2 linked regions of the Arabidopsis thaliana genome follow. The protein of the gene in region 1 purifies or fractionates together with the protein of each later gene. This does not show direct contact. Each region holds a gene or a part of one and is shown in the gene's direction. Other genes may lie near its edges. The genes, in order: AAE3 and XK-2.

The links.
Region 2: the proteins of AAE3 (region 1) and XK-2 fractionate together in Arabidopsis thaliana (co-fractionation; one large-scale study listed by BioGRID). This does not show direct contact.

The regions. Positions count from the first base shown.
Region 1 is NC_003074.8:18,157,822-18,163,336, reverse strand, and holds AAE3 (AMP-dependent synthetase and ligase family protein), read left to right. Parts: upstream 1-1,850; 5' UTR 1,851-2,042; coding exon 2,043-2,246; intron 2,247-2,439; coding exon 2,440-3,117; intron 3,118-3,236; coding exon 3,237-3,606; intron 3,607-3,855; coding exon 3,856-3,959; intron 3,960-4,117; coding exon 4,118-4,306; 3' UTR 4,307-4,772; downstream 4,773-5,515. Other genes in the region: AT3G49000 (RNA polymerase III subunit RPC82 family protein), read right to left, coding at 1-42, 135-288, 363-434; AT3G48980 (O-glucosyltransferase rumi-like protein (DUF821)), read right to left, coding at 5,115-5,480. UniProt on the Arabidopsis thaliana protein: Oxalyl-CoA synthetase acting exclusively against oxalate. Follows a two-step reaction mechanism, wherein oxalate first undergoes adenylation by ATP, followed by a thioesterification in the presence of CoA to yield oxalyl-CoA.
Region 2 is NC_003076.8:20,150,833-20,157,150, forward strand, and holds XK-2 (xylulose kinase-2), read left to right. Parts: upstream 1-1,898; 5' UTR 1,899-2,065; coding exon 2,066-2,124; intron 2,125-2,242; coding exon 2,243-2,897; intron 2,898-2,971; coding exon 2,972-3,060; intron 3,061-3,141; coding exon 3,142-3,206; intron 3,207-3,391; coding exon 3,392-3,447; intron 3,448-3,546; coding exon 3,547-3,667; intron 3,668-3,758; coding exon 3,759-3,833; intron 3,834-3,920; coding exon 3,921-3,974; intron 3,975-4,063; coding exon 4,064-4,158; intron 4,159-4,244; coding exon 4,245-4,419; intron 4,420-4,509; coding exon 4,510-4,742; 3' UTR 4,743-5,781; downstream 5,782-6,318. Other genes in the region: AT5G49640 (uncharacterized protein), read left to right, coding at 585-797; AT5G49645 (uncharacterized protein), read right to left, coding at 684-743. UniProt on the Arabidopsis thaliana protein: Mediates 1-deoxy-D-xylulose (DX) phosphorylation in the cytoplasm prior to the translocation of 1-deoxy-D-xylulose 5-phosphate into plastids. Can also phosphorylate D-xylulose (Xyl). Uses preferentially ATP as cosubstrate.

The DNA.
Region 1 (5,515 bases):
ACAACACAATATACTGTACAATAGCTTTGCTCTCAGAACCATCTACAAAGTAAAAAAAAAAAACATACAAAATTACTTTCATTGAGTTCTCTATTTCTGTGTGTTGCTACTAATCAAACAATATAGAGACTAACCAGGAGGTTCAATGGAGAAAGCTTGAACACAATTGTGCTGAATCAAGAGATAGAGAATATCTTTAACTTTGTTATGGTTGATATCTGATTCAGCTAAACGAGAGATGTCTCGTGAGGAAAGAGGTCCTTTACGTAGAAGACATTCACAAACTTTCTGCAACCAAAACCAAATTCGTTATACAGAGATTATAAATTCAACACAAGTCTCAGAAGGGTTTCTCAATTTACCGAGACGACGGAGCCGAATTGGACGGTGATGATATGGATGGCGTAGACAATGCCAAACTCAGACATAGACATGAGAATCAATCACCAGGAAGTCTCTCAATACTGATGAAGCAGCCTCTGCAGAGCTTGACGGAGTTATGGCCGATATAGAGATGTTTGCCAATCGATTGTAGCCTACTACTACTAAAAAGCGAAGCAATCGTAATCTAGCGACCCTAAAGTTTAATTTTTCCAGCGATCCACACGTTCGAATCCAAAATTTCGATAATCTAACATGAACCCACCAATATAAGTATAAGAAAACACCAACCCAGGGCTAGGGCTTTTGTTTTTTATAAGGACTCGGGCCGGCCTTAAATATTTAGCCCATTTTAACATCCCTAATTGTAGGTTATTAATTGTTGGCCTAGAGAAGTTTGGGCCTATCAGGCCCTAATAAATTGAATGTATGGTTTGACCCAAGAAAAAAAATTAGTGATGGAACGAAATGTACTTGAGAATTTTCAATGATTGGGCCAGATGACAATGCTCTACTTAAGAAGAACAAACACAAACCAAATTCTTCTATTGTATTTGTATGTGACGGCTTACATGAAGACCATGTTTTTACTTAGTTAGGAGAATGGAAAATGACTTTTTCAGCTTCATGAATATGACTTATATTTTAAAACACTGTCGTTTTCATCTATACGAGATTTTTGTATTTCTATTCATAATCATATACATAATTTTAATCTTTAACAAATAACAAGGTAAACTAAATCTTTGATTAGTAAATTCTACTCTGACTCTCTTCTAAGCTACGCATGTTTAGTGGTTTAAATTAGTTTCATTGTTGAATAATTATCCAAATCCACTATTGTTTAGTTAGATAGTGTGCATGTATCAAACCAAATAAAATAATATAATAATTTGTATGTATAGACAAAACAAAATTGATTACTTCAAAAAGATATATGTCTCATTATATTTAGTCTTCTACTTTTTTTCTATAAATAATATATTTATTCTTATCATTCAAAGTCATTTTTACCATTTCTTATTTTAATTTTACATTTTTACCTTGGTCAATTTAATTTATTAACAATCAAAATAAGGACGTTATCTTCTATTTATAATATAAAGTATAAACAACGTCAAGCATCTTCGAAACGTGATAATCCTAGTCAAAGACACATGTGCAAAGGCCCTAAAAGTGATTAAACACTCATAGGCTATTTTTTTAATGAAACTATTCTTTTGTTTGATAATACATACACAAACTATTTCAAATTCCTATGAAATAATTCATAAACCGTAAATTACTATCGCATGCTTGCCGAAAAAAAATATTTTCAAAAGTTAATTAACTAGCCGTTTCGGTTCAGTGTTTGTACCGGAATCGAAATTAAAAAAACCACCTCTTCAAAAACCGAAACGTCGGTCTAATCGTAAGGATATATATCAGCGACTCCCACCGTTAACAAAATAATTAAAAATGAAAACATTATGACCACACGATCAATAGAAAATCCGCTACGATGATAACACGTGGCATCATCTTTTAGCCATTTTTTGCTTCCACAGATACTGTAGTAATTGAATATAAATTTATAAATATCGCATTTGCTCTCTTCTCTGCTTTCACATTCTCTCCTTCCTCATCATCGTTACTCTCGTGTTTATCTCTCCGACGTAACCATGGATAGCGATACTCTCTCAGGATTATTGGAAAACGTCGCCAAAAAATTCCCCGATCGCCGAGCTCTCTCCGTTTCTGGAAAATTCAATCTCACTCACGCGCGTCTTCACGATCTAATCGAACGCGCCGCTTCACGCCTTGTCTCCGACGCTGGAATCAAACCCGGCGATGTCGTTGCTCTCACCTTCCCTAACACCGTCGAGGTATTTTAAGAGGTTTTCATATATTTCGATTTAAAAGCTTCGTTTCTGGTTTTGTTTTGCGTGCTGAAGAATCACATGGGAAGCAGAATTTATGAATATCTGTAAATCGCTTCTTAATTGAGAAATTTTGATTTCCGGATTCAGATGATTTTTTTGGATGAATTTGGTTTTGATTTTTTTTTTTTGTTTTCAGTTTGTTATAATGTTTTTAGCGGTGATAAGAGCTAGAGCCACGGCGGCGCCGTTGAACGCAGCGTACACGGCGGAGGAATTTGAGTTTTACCTCTCCGATTCAGATTCAAAGCTATTGTTAACCTCTAAAGAAGGAAACGCACCGGCTCAAGAAGCAGCTTCAAAGCTGAAAATCTCTCACGTCACCGCTACGCTGCTTGACGCTGGCTCGGACCTTGTACTATCCGTTGCGGATTCAGATTCCGTCGTTGACTCAGCGACGGAACTCGTTAATCACCCGGACGACGGTGCTCTCTTCCTCCACACTTCTGGCACTACGAGCCGTCCAAAGGGTGTACCGCTTACGCAGCTCAATCTAGCTTCATCCGTCAAGAACATTAAAGCTGTGTACAAGCTTACTGAGTCTGATTCTACGGTGATTGTTCTCCCTCTGTTCCATGTTCATGGATTGTTAGCTGGGTTGCTTAGCTCGCTTGGAGCTGGTGCTGCTGTAACTCTTCCAGCTGCTGGTAGATTCTCAGCAACAACATTTTGGCCAGATATGAAGAAGTATAACGCTACATGGTATACTGCTGTGCCGACCATTCATCAGATCATATTGGACCGCCACGCGAGCCACCCTGAGACGGAATATCCTAAACTCCGGTTCATCAGGAGTTGCAGTGCTTCTTTGGCTCCGGTAATGCTCTTGTTTCCAGTCAATTGTTGAGGCGTTTGTAATGCACAGTGTTTTGTAAAACGTTGGATTGCTTTGGCTTTCAATAACTTAATGACTTATTTTGTCTTGGTTTTTGTTAGGTGATATTGTCCAGGCTTGAGGAAGCGTTTGGAGCACCGGTGCTCGAGGCCTATGCAATGACAGAGGCAACACATTTGATGAGCTCAAACCCCTTACCAGAGGAAGGTCCACACAAGCCTGGGTCTGTTGGGAAACCGGTAGGTCAAGAAATGGCGATCCTTAATGAGAAAGGCGAGATCCAAGAGCCAAATAACAAAGGAGAGGTTTGTATAAGAGGTCCAAATGTGACCAAGGGTTACAAGAATAACCCAGAAGCCAACAAGGCAGGTTTCGAGTTTGGGTGGTTCCACACTGGTGATATCGGTTACTTTGATACCGATGGGTATTTGCATCTGGTGGGTCGGATCAAAGAGCTTATTAACCGTGGAGGTTAGTCTCATTTACTCTATTTTGATGGCTTTACTGTTTCACAAGAATACTAGTCTATGTCTAGCAGTTTATTTGTATAGTCTCGGTGGAGGCTACTTTGTGCAGTACTATGTTAGACTTGTCAAAGAAAACCCTCCAACAAATTAGAAATGAGACAAGACAAAGAAAGAGGCTACTTTGTGCAGTATCATGATCTTTTGTATGAATGAGTTAGATTTTCTATGTGTACTTAATTATAATCTATTTCAGGTGAGAAGATATCTCCAATTGAAGTGGATGCAGTACTCTTAACGCATCCTGACGTTTCTCAGGGTGTTGCATTCGGTGTTCCTGATGAGAAATATGGGGAAGAGGTAAACAAAACCTGTGCTTAAATTGTCTCTAATTTGAATTTATGAATTGGTCTCCCTTATCTACCATTATGTCCTGCAGAATCATCAAACATCATGTGAACTTACTTATCAATGAGCTGTTAATAACGCTGTGTTTCCCTGGTTTATTGGTTTATCAGATTAACTGTGCGGTGATTCCAAGAGAAGGAACTACTGTAACCGAAGAGGACATTAAAGCGTTTTGTAAGAAGAATTTGGCAGCTTTCAAGGTGCCAAAGAGAGTGTTCATCACTGATAACCTCCCCAAAACTGCCTCTGGTAAGATTCAGCGCCGTATCGTCGCACAACATTTCCTTGAGAAGCCCTGAAACACACAGAAAACACCATCTTGCTCGAAAATCATCGGTGATGAGTCCTAGTTTTCACTTTTCACGCAAATGGATATGCGTTCTCTATTATTGGTTCTTGGTTTAAAAGTTACTTTTTATATGTTTCATGGTGGTAAAGGTTATAGATTAAATCACAAAAGTGGAAATAAAAGTCGATAAGTGATTATTGAAGTACAACAATAAAGGAGAGTTTCTTTTTGTTGGTGTTGTCTCTGCGTCTTTTTGTTACTGATGCTCTTGATCTAATGGCCAATTTGACAACTAAAAGCGTACTGCCAAAACGGGTAAAGCCAAAGGACAAATATTACATTGTCACTTTTTAAAGCGTTTGGTTCGTTGAACAAACCGACCGTTTAGTGGGACAGGTAGACTTTCACTATGTCCCAAATTATGTTCCATTCCATGTTATAGCTAACTAATTCTGAACTTGAGCTCCAAATTTGAATTTTAAAGTTAACTTTTGTGATAGAAGAAAAAAAAAAAAAAAGTTAACTTTGTGATTTCAATATAGAACTCAATACGAGGATAAAACATTTACCATAAGGATTTTCCTAGATTCAGGCATAGTCATAGAGATATAAGATCAAACCGTACAAAACTTATTTACTTTTATTACCGATTAAAACTTTGTATCGTCGAATTCACTAGACAGAATGGATTAGTTAAAATTCTACCAAAAAAACGGAGAAGAAAATAAAGATCGCATGTTTTCTAATTTATACTACTCGATACAATTCTGACAAGTGCTTTTACTCTACACACCAAAACTTTATACGCCAATCTAATTTTACGAACCGGTCTTGTTCTGCTTCCTCCAGTACTTACTCTCCCACTGTTCGATTCTACTAGTCGTACTCTGTCTCCTTTTCAAAACTGAATAAAATGATGCCGGATCATACGGAGGCGGCATGGCGCAGGGACCTGTCTCAGCTGGGCGTTTTACGAGTGATTCCATCATAAACTTTCGTTCATTTCCATCCCTCGGGCATGCCATTGCCTCTGAGCAGAGCTCAGTGGAGTTCTGAGGGATCTCGGGTTTAAACCGGAGGAGTTTAGAGTATTGGATTAAGAGATGAAACATGTAATCGTACACATAGTCCATCTTGAGTTCTTGTTGCACAAACTCACTTGCCTTCTTACCTATGTCTTGTGCCTGGTAAGAGAAAAGAACGGTGAGAGGGTAACATT
Region 2 (6,318 bases), on another chromosome or scaffold:
CAATTTTCCAAGGAACAAATCTTCTTTGATTTTTTTGGGTAAATCGTTGAACCAACGACACATAAGTAAAGAGAATCTGCATATAAGGTAGAAGAAAGTCATCGAATCTACAACACTAACTCTTGCAATAATTATTTAATACTAAAAGAAAATACGTACTGACAAAACCGTGACATAAACCAGATATATTGGATGGCAAATTTGGATCTCATCCAAACTTGAAAACTGCCAAAACATACTGGAAAACGAAATAAAATAGAGAGAATATCCGGTAGGAGATATTTTTAAAATTTTCACATTAATTAACTTTTTTGCGTTTTCTTTTTTTTTGTTACTGGAATTTTATTAATCAAGCCAAACATGTTTACAAAACCGGATAAACCGGAAACTTAGCCAGAGACTTTAACAGGAAACAGAGCCCGACTTTAACGGGAGACAAAGCCGGCGAACAACAAGATGTCCCCGGAAACAAAAGCTCAAACGAGAGAAACAAACGAGGGAGACATAACCCTAAAGTACAGGGAACCAACTTACAACCAAAAAAATTAGCTCACTAAGAGAAGTCTACAACCAATGCACTAAACATGACCACATGTTCCAAAGAGAAGCCTACTAAACCTTCCTATAGAAACTGTGAACGCCAGATAGCATCAGGAAGACCAGATAAGACACAACACCAAAGCCTAACCAATCGCAACACCGACAAGGAAGGCAAAAGGCTTCACCCGATACCAAGGAATCATGAACCACTAGAGCCAAGTCACACCATAGCAGACGGAGATAAAGAGACAGGCTAGGAACAAGGAGAAAACCTTGTGATTCGGCTTGAGACAAGTCAAAGAAGACCAACAGCTCTTACACGCGGACACTCGTCGACCCAGTTTCAGCCATCTACCAACAAAAAACTGGTAACCTCCTCGCAAGAGAAGAACATGTGATCGTTCCACTGTGACGCCTGTAGCCCAACTTCAAACCTCAAAGAAGCTAGAAAGGAGCTTGTAGATGACGCTGCAACGAAACACCATCCAAAAGACAAGCACAACCCGTAACCTAGCCAAAAACAAAACCACCAAACGCCCAAGAGGACCCAGCAAAGCAGAAGAGCAAAGGACATAAAGGCAATTCCATAACCAGAGAGAAACTGACTTGCGCAAAACACAAACCAAGAAGGATCTCTGAGCTTAGCTAATTCAATTGGTTAAACGCAACAAAACAAACCTAAAACTAGGAAAATTAACACAAACGAGCCAAGACTTAGCAAAACCAAGGACAAACTATGAGCAGAGACTAAATTACCCAACCAAAGGCAACCTAATATTAGCCTAAGACAGAATCGAGACTACATAGCTTCCACTAGATCAGGTATGTATAAGATGAAGAAACCAAACCTCCATCTCCAAAAACAACTGCCGTAACAGTGAAGAACCACACGGGCTCCGACAAAAACACCAACCACCCACGGAGAACCAAGCGACACCATCACTAGAACGGAACCAACCTTCCAATCGAAGCACAACCATCTAGAATCTCGTCTTTAATCCGCCATAGGAGGAGCCAGAGAAGACCCAAAACAAAGGAAAAGCAAATAAAAGACAAACAGACACACCCTCTCTGACTCCGGCCAAGGGCACCAGATAATCAGAAAGGTAACGTCAGAAATTTGAGAAGAAAAGTTTGGTGGTGGCTAGACCTAAAAAAATCGCCTCTCAAAGGCCGTAGAGCCAAACCTTTTTATGTTATAGAAAACTTTTTTGCGTTACATTGATATTAAAATTCTTCTAAACGAAACAATATAAATTAATTTACTCATGATTTGTTAGAAATATTTTTTATTTTTATTTTGTGTACATGACGTGGATAACTAATTAAGGTTAGAAAACAAAATCCAACAATCTGATAACAATTAGTCACTAAATATTCGGAGTAATGACTAATGACCTCCGCTCTTATCCAAAATACTGATTAGTGTCTGTTTTAAATGATCCTACCTTATAAAAACGACGACACATCTCTCTCTCGTCTTCTTCTTCCTCTAAACCTGTGAAAAACTTTGGATCAATCAACAATGGCGGATCTCTCTCTTCCTCCCGATTCCCTCTTCCTCGGCTTCGACAGCTCTACCCAGTACGTCCCCCTTCCTTTACTATTGTTGCTATCTCTCTGATTTGATCACAATCAGTCTTCGATCATTTTGAAATTCGTTAGTTTGGTCGATCTGAATCTTGTTTGTTTCCATTGAAAGGTCAATGAAAGCAACTGTGTTGGATTCGAACCTGAACATTATCAAAACCGAACTCGTTCATTTCGATTCTGATCTTCCTCAATACAAAACCAAAGACGGGGTTTACAGAGACACTACTGTAAACGGAAGAATCGTATCTCCAACTCTCATGTGGGTCGAAGCATTTGATCTCATTCTCCAGAAGCTCTCTAACGCCAATTTCGATTTCGCCAAAGTTATCGCTGTTTCAGGCAGCGGGCAACAACACGGTAGTGTGTATTGGTCAAAAGGTAGTTCTGAGGTATTGAGATCATTGGATTCAAAGAGATCATTGAAAGAACAACTCGAAAACGCTTTTTCGGTTAAGGAATCTCCTATATGGATGGATAGTAGTACTACATTGCAATGTAAAGAGATTGAGAATGCTGTTGGTGGAGCTATGGAGTTGTCGAAGATCACTGGCTCTCGTGCTTATGAGCGGTTTACTGGTCCGCAGATACGGAAGCTTTTTATGACTCAGGGGGAGGTGTATAAGAGCACGGAGAGGATTTCGCTTGTTAGCTCTTTTATGGCGTCTTTGTTGGTTGGAGATTATGCTTGTATTGATGAAACTGATGCTGCTGGGATGAATTTGATGGATATTGAGAAACGTTGTTGGTCTAAAGCTGCGTTAGAGGTTTGTTGTGGGTGACTTTGAGGATGTAGTTAGATATTTAAAAATGGTTGTTTGTTGATAGGTTTTGTTTGCAGGCTACAGCGACAGGTTTGGAGGAGAAACTTGGGAAGTTAGCTCCAGCTTATGCTACTGCTGGTTCTATTTCTCAGTATTTTGTTCAGAGGTTAGTATCGATTGTGATCAGGATGGATATGATATGCACTTTCACATGTCAGATTCAGAGATTCTTTTGGTTATGTTGCAGGTTCGGTTTTGAAAAGAACTGTGTGGTTGTGCAGTGGTCGGGAGATAATCCTAATAGCTTGGCAGGTACATATTCAACAACATAAGCTTGGGGAGAAGTTCCTATGCATTTTCAAATTGTTATTGACTTGGGCTTTTGAGTAGCAACTGCGACATTTATGATGAAATGGAGAGTGTATCTTGCGACTGGATTCTGTCTGTGTTTGTATATGAATTACAAGGTACCAATGAGGCTATACCATGTCATGCAGGTCTAACTCTTAGTACTCCTGGAGATCTGGCGATCAGTCTTGGAACCAGTGACACGGCAAGGCTCTTGATTCTTGTCGAGCTTGCTAGTTAGTTAATCCAGATATAGACTAGTGTTCTTACCATTTCACATGTCGAACATTATAAACTCTTACAGGTATTTGGGATTACCAAAGAACTTCAACCCAGTCTTGAGGGTCATGTGTTACCTAATCCTGTGGACCCTGAGAGTTATATGGTGATGTTGGTTTACAAGAATGCTTCTCTCACCCGGGAAGGTACTCATGACTGCAAACTCCCACTCTTATCTGTTCTTATGTGCTTTGTTTGATCCTCAGAGACAATCAAGAATGTGAATTTCCATTTCAGAAATTCGTGACCGTTGTGCTGAGGGATCTTGGGATGTTTTTAATAAGTATTTGCAGCAAACACAGCCACTAAACAGTAAGTTGCTATTTCATTATCCTTCAGGTGTCCATCTATAATATATTCAGATTCTTTGTTTTCTAAATACACTACTGGATCCATTAGATGGGAAACTCGGCTTCTACTACACTGAAAATGAAATTCTGCCCCCACTTCCCGGTATTTGCTTGAGTTATTCTCCTTTCCATGCTATTGGCCTCAGCAACATGCTGTAAGTTTGCTTTACTAATGCTTTTCTCAATGCTTAGTTGGCTCTCATCGTTACATTCTTGAGAACTTCTCTGGTGAGTCTCTTGAGGGTGTGAAGGAACAAGAGGTCGGTGAGTTCGACCCTCCCTCAGAGGTAAGCAAGCTTATACACTGTTCTCTATAACATCCACAGGGCAATTACATAGTTCGATTTCATCCCAATGTATTGTTTGCTGTCAGGTTAGGGCATTGATTGAAGGTCAGTTTCTTTCAAAGCGGGCTCATACTGAGAGATTTGGTATGCCCTCCCCTCCCCTCCGAATAATAGCAACCGGAGGTGCATCTGCTAACGAGAATATCTTGAGTCTGATCTCAGCAATCTTCGGATGTGATGTATATACTGTCCAAAGGCCTGGTAACTCTTGAAACATACAAAACAAGTTGCGGCTTATACTTGCTTGATCTCCTTTATAGATTGAACAAAGTGTTTGTTTGTATGCAACAGATTCAGCATCACTTGGAGCTGCACTAAGAGCTGCTCATGGCTGGCTCTGCAACAAAAAAGGAAGCTTTGTACCAATCTCAAATCTCTACGAAGGGAAATTGGAAACAACATCTCTGAACTGCAAGCTCAAGGTAAAAGCAGGAGACGCGAACATTGCTTCCACCTATGGTTTGTTGATGAAGAAGAGGATGGAAATAGAGAACAAGCTTGTGGAGAAGTTAGGCCACTTCTGAGAAGAAAAAAACTCACTACTCAATAATTCAAATAACTTAAAGAGTTGAAAGAATAACAAGTTCTATCTACTAAAACTAAAAGACAAGTTTGCTTGTTGCTCAAAATAAAAGCAGAATACGATCTTACGATCTCTGAGTAACAAATGATTCGTAAGACATTGCTCTTAATCTAGTTTATGTCATACACTTAAATCATTGAGAGACTTACATACAATGAGACACAAACAAAATCAGAAGAGGCCATAAATTGTTAGTAGTCTTCAAAGAGTGAGAAAGAAAAAAAGAACATAAACACGACAAAAATGATCTGCAGAAGAAATGATATAAAGATTTTACATTTCTGGTTGAAAAAATTCAAAGAACAAAAAAAAAGCTAAATCTTCATCTCCTTCTTCCCCATTCGCAAATGTCACTCCAAAAACAAAAAAGTAGATTTTTTTTTTATTTTTTTTAGTCAAATTAAAATATAGAAATCAATTATGCCTGGCTCCAACCTGTCTGCCTTTTTCACATAGGAACGACCCAAATCTCTTTTCTCAGTCACTGTCGCGTACATCATCAATGTCGAGAGTACAGAGAATGTTGTCTTAATCAAGCACTGACAGTCCGGTACTTTGTTCCGCTCGCCGCCGCCGATGATGGATTACGGCGGCGGCGGCGGCGAATCGCGGTTGCTTCTCAGGTTCTCTGTTCAAATGGGTGTTGAGATGGAAAGAGAAGAACGGATTTGATATAAAAGCAACGGCTAAAGATAAGAAGAGAGAGAGATCATTGGAAGATGAGAAGGCATTTTCAAAGTTGCAAACTTTTGGTGTTGGTTCAGTTTTTTTTTTTTTTCCTTCGTTTTTGCTTTACGGTTCGAGACACCGTTTTGTCTCCCCAAGGAAAAAAAAATATTGGTTACATATTTCAAAGTTTTGTAGTCTCTTTACGGTAAACAGAAAATTAAAATTTCATGCCACGAGAGAGAGAGGGGTATATTTAATGCAAACTTAAATTTGATCTGTATCAGCCTAAAATTAGAATTAGCTCTAACCTAGTCTCTCAACTTGGAGAAAAAACAAACCTAGTCTGAATCTCACAAGTCAGTCATAAATTTTGTGATCTAATGGAAAATAAACTTTTTTAAAGTGGTGTTTTGTTCATATAAAATACAACTCTTCAATGACACTAATGTTGTTACACTTTTAAGTTTTGGACCAATTTAATCGTTTATGTGTACATCAATAAGATTGCAAAAGACACTTTTAAGTTGAGATTGTTTTCTTTCTCCTCAAACGACAAATATCATCAATGGGATTATGGTAAAAAGTTTGCTCCCAAGCTTCAATTCACACATAAGAATTGAGTGTAAGGGAGCAATACAAACAAAGTTAAATGGAAATTTAAGGAGCAAACTACTAACAATGGTAAGTTAAATGGAAATTTAAGTTGAAAATAGTTACTAGGGGATAATTTAGCTCAAATTATAGCGATGGGAACCACGGGGAAGGTTGTGCTATGACTTAAAGAGACACTATTCAAAAGTTTACAAGGTTTGAGGAGTTGAATGCTAAACTTGACAAGTTCTTGAAAT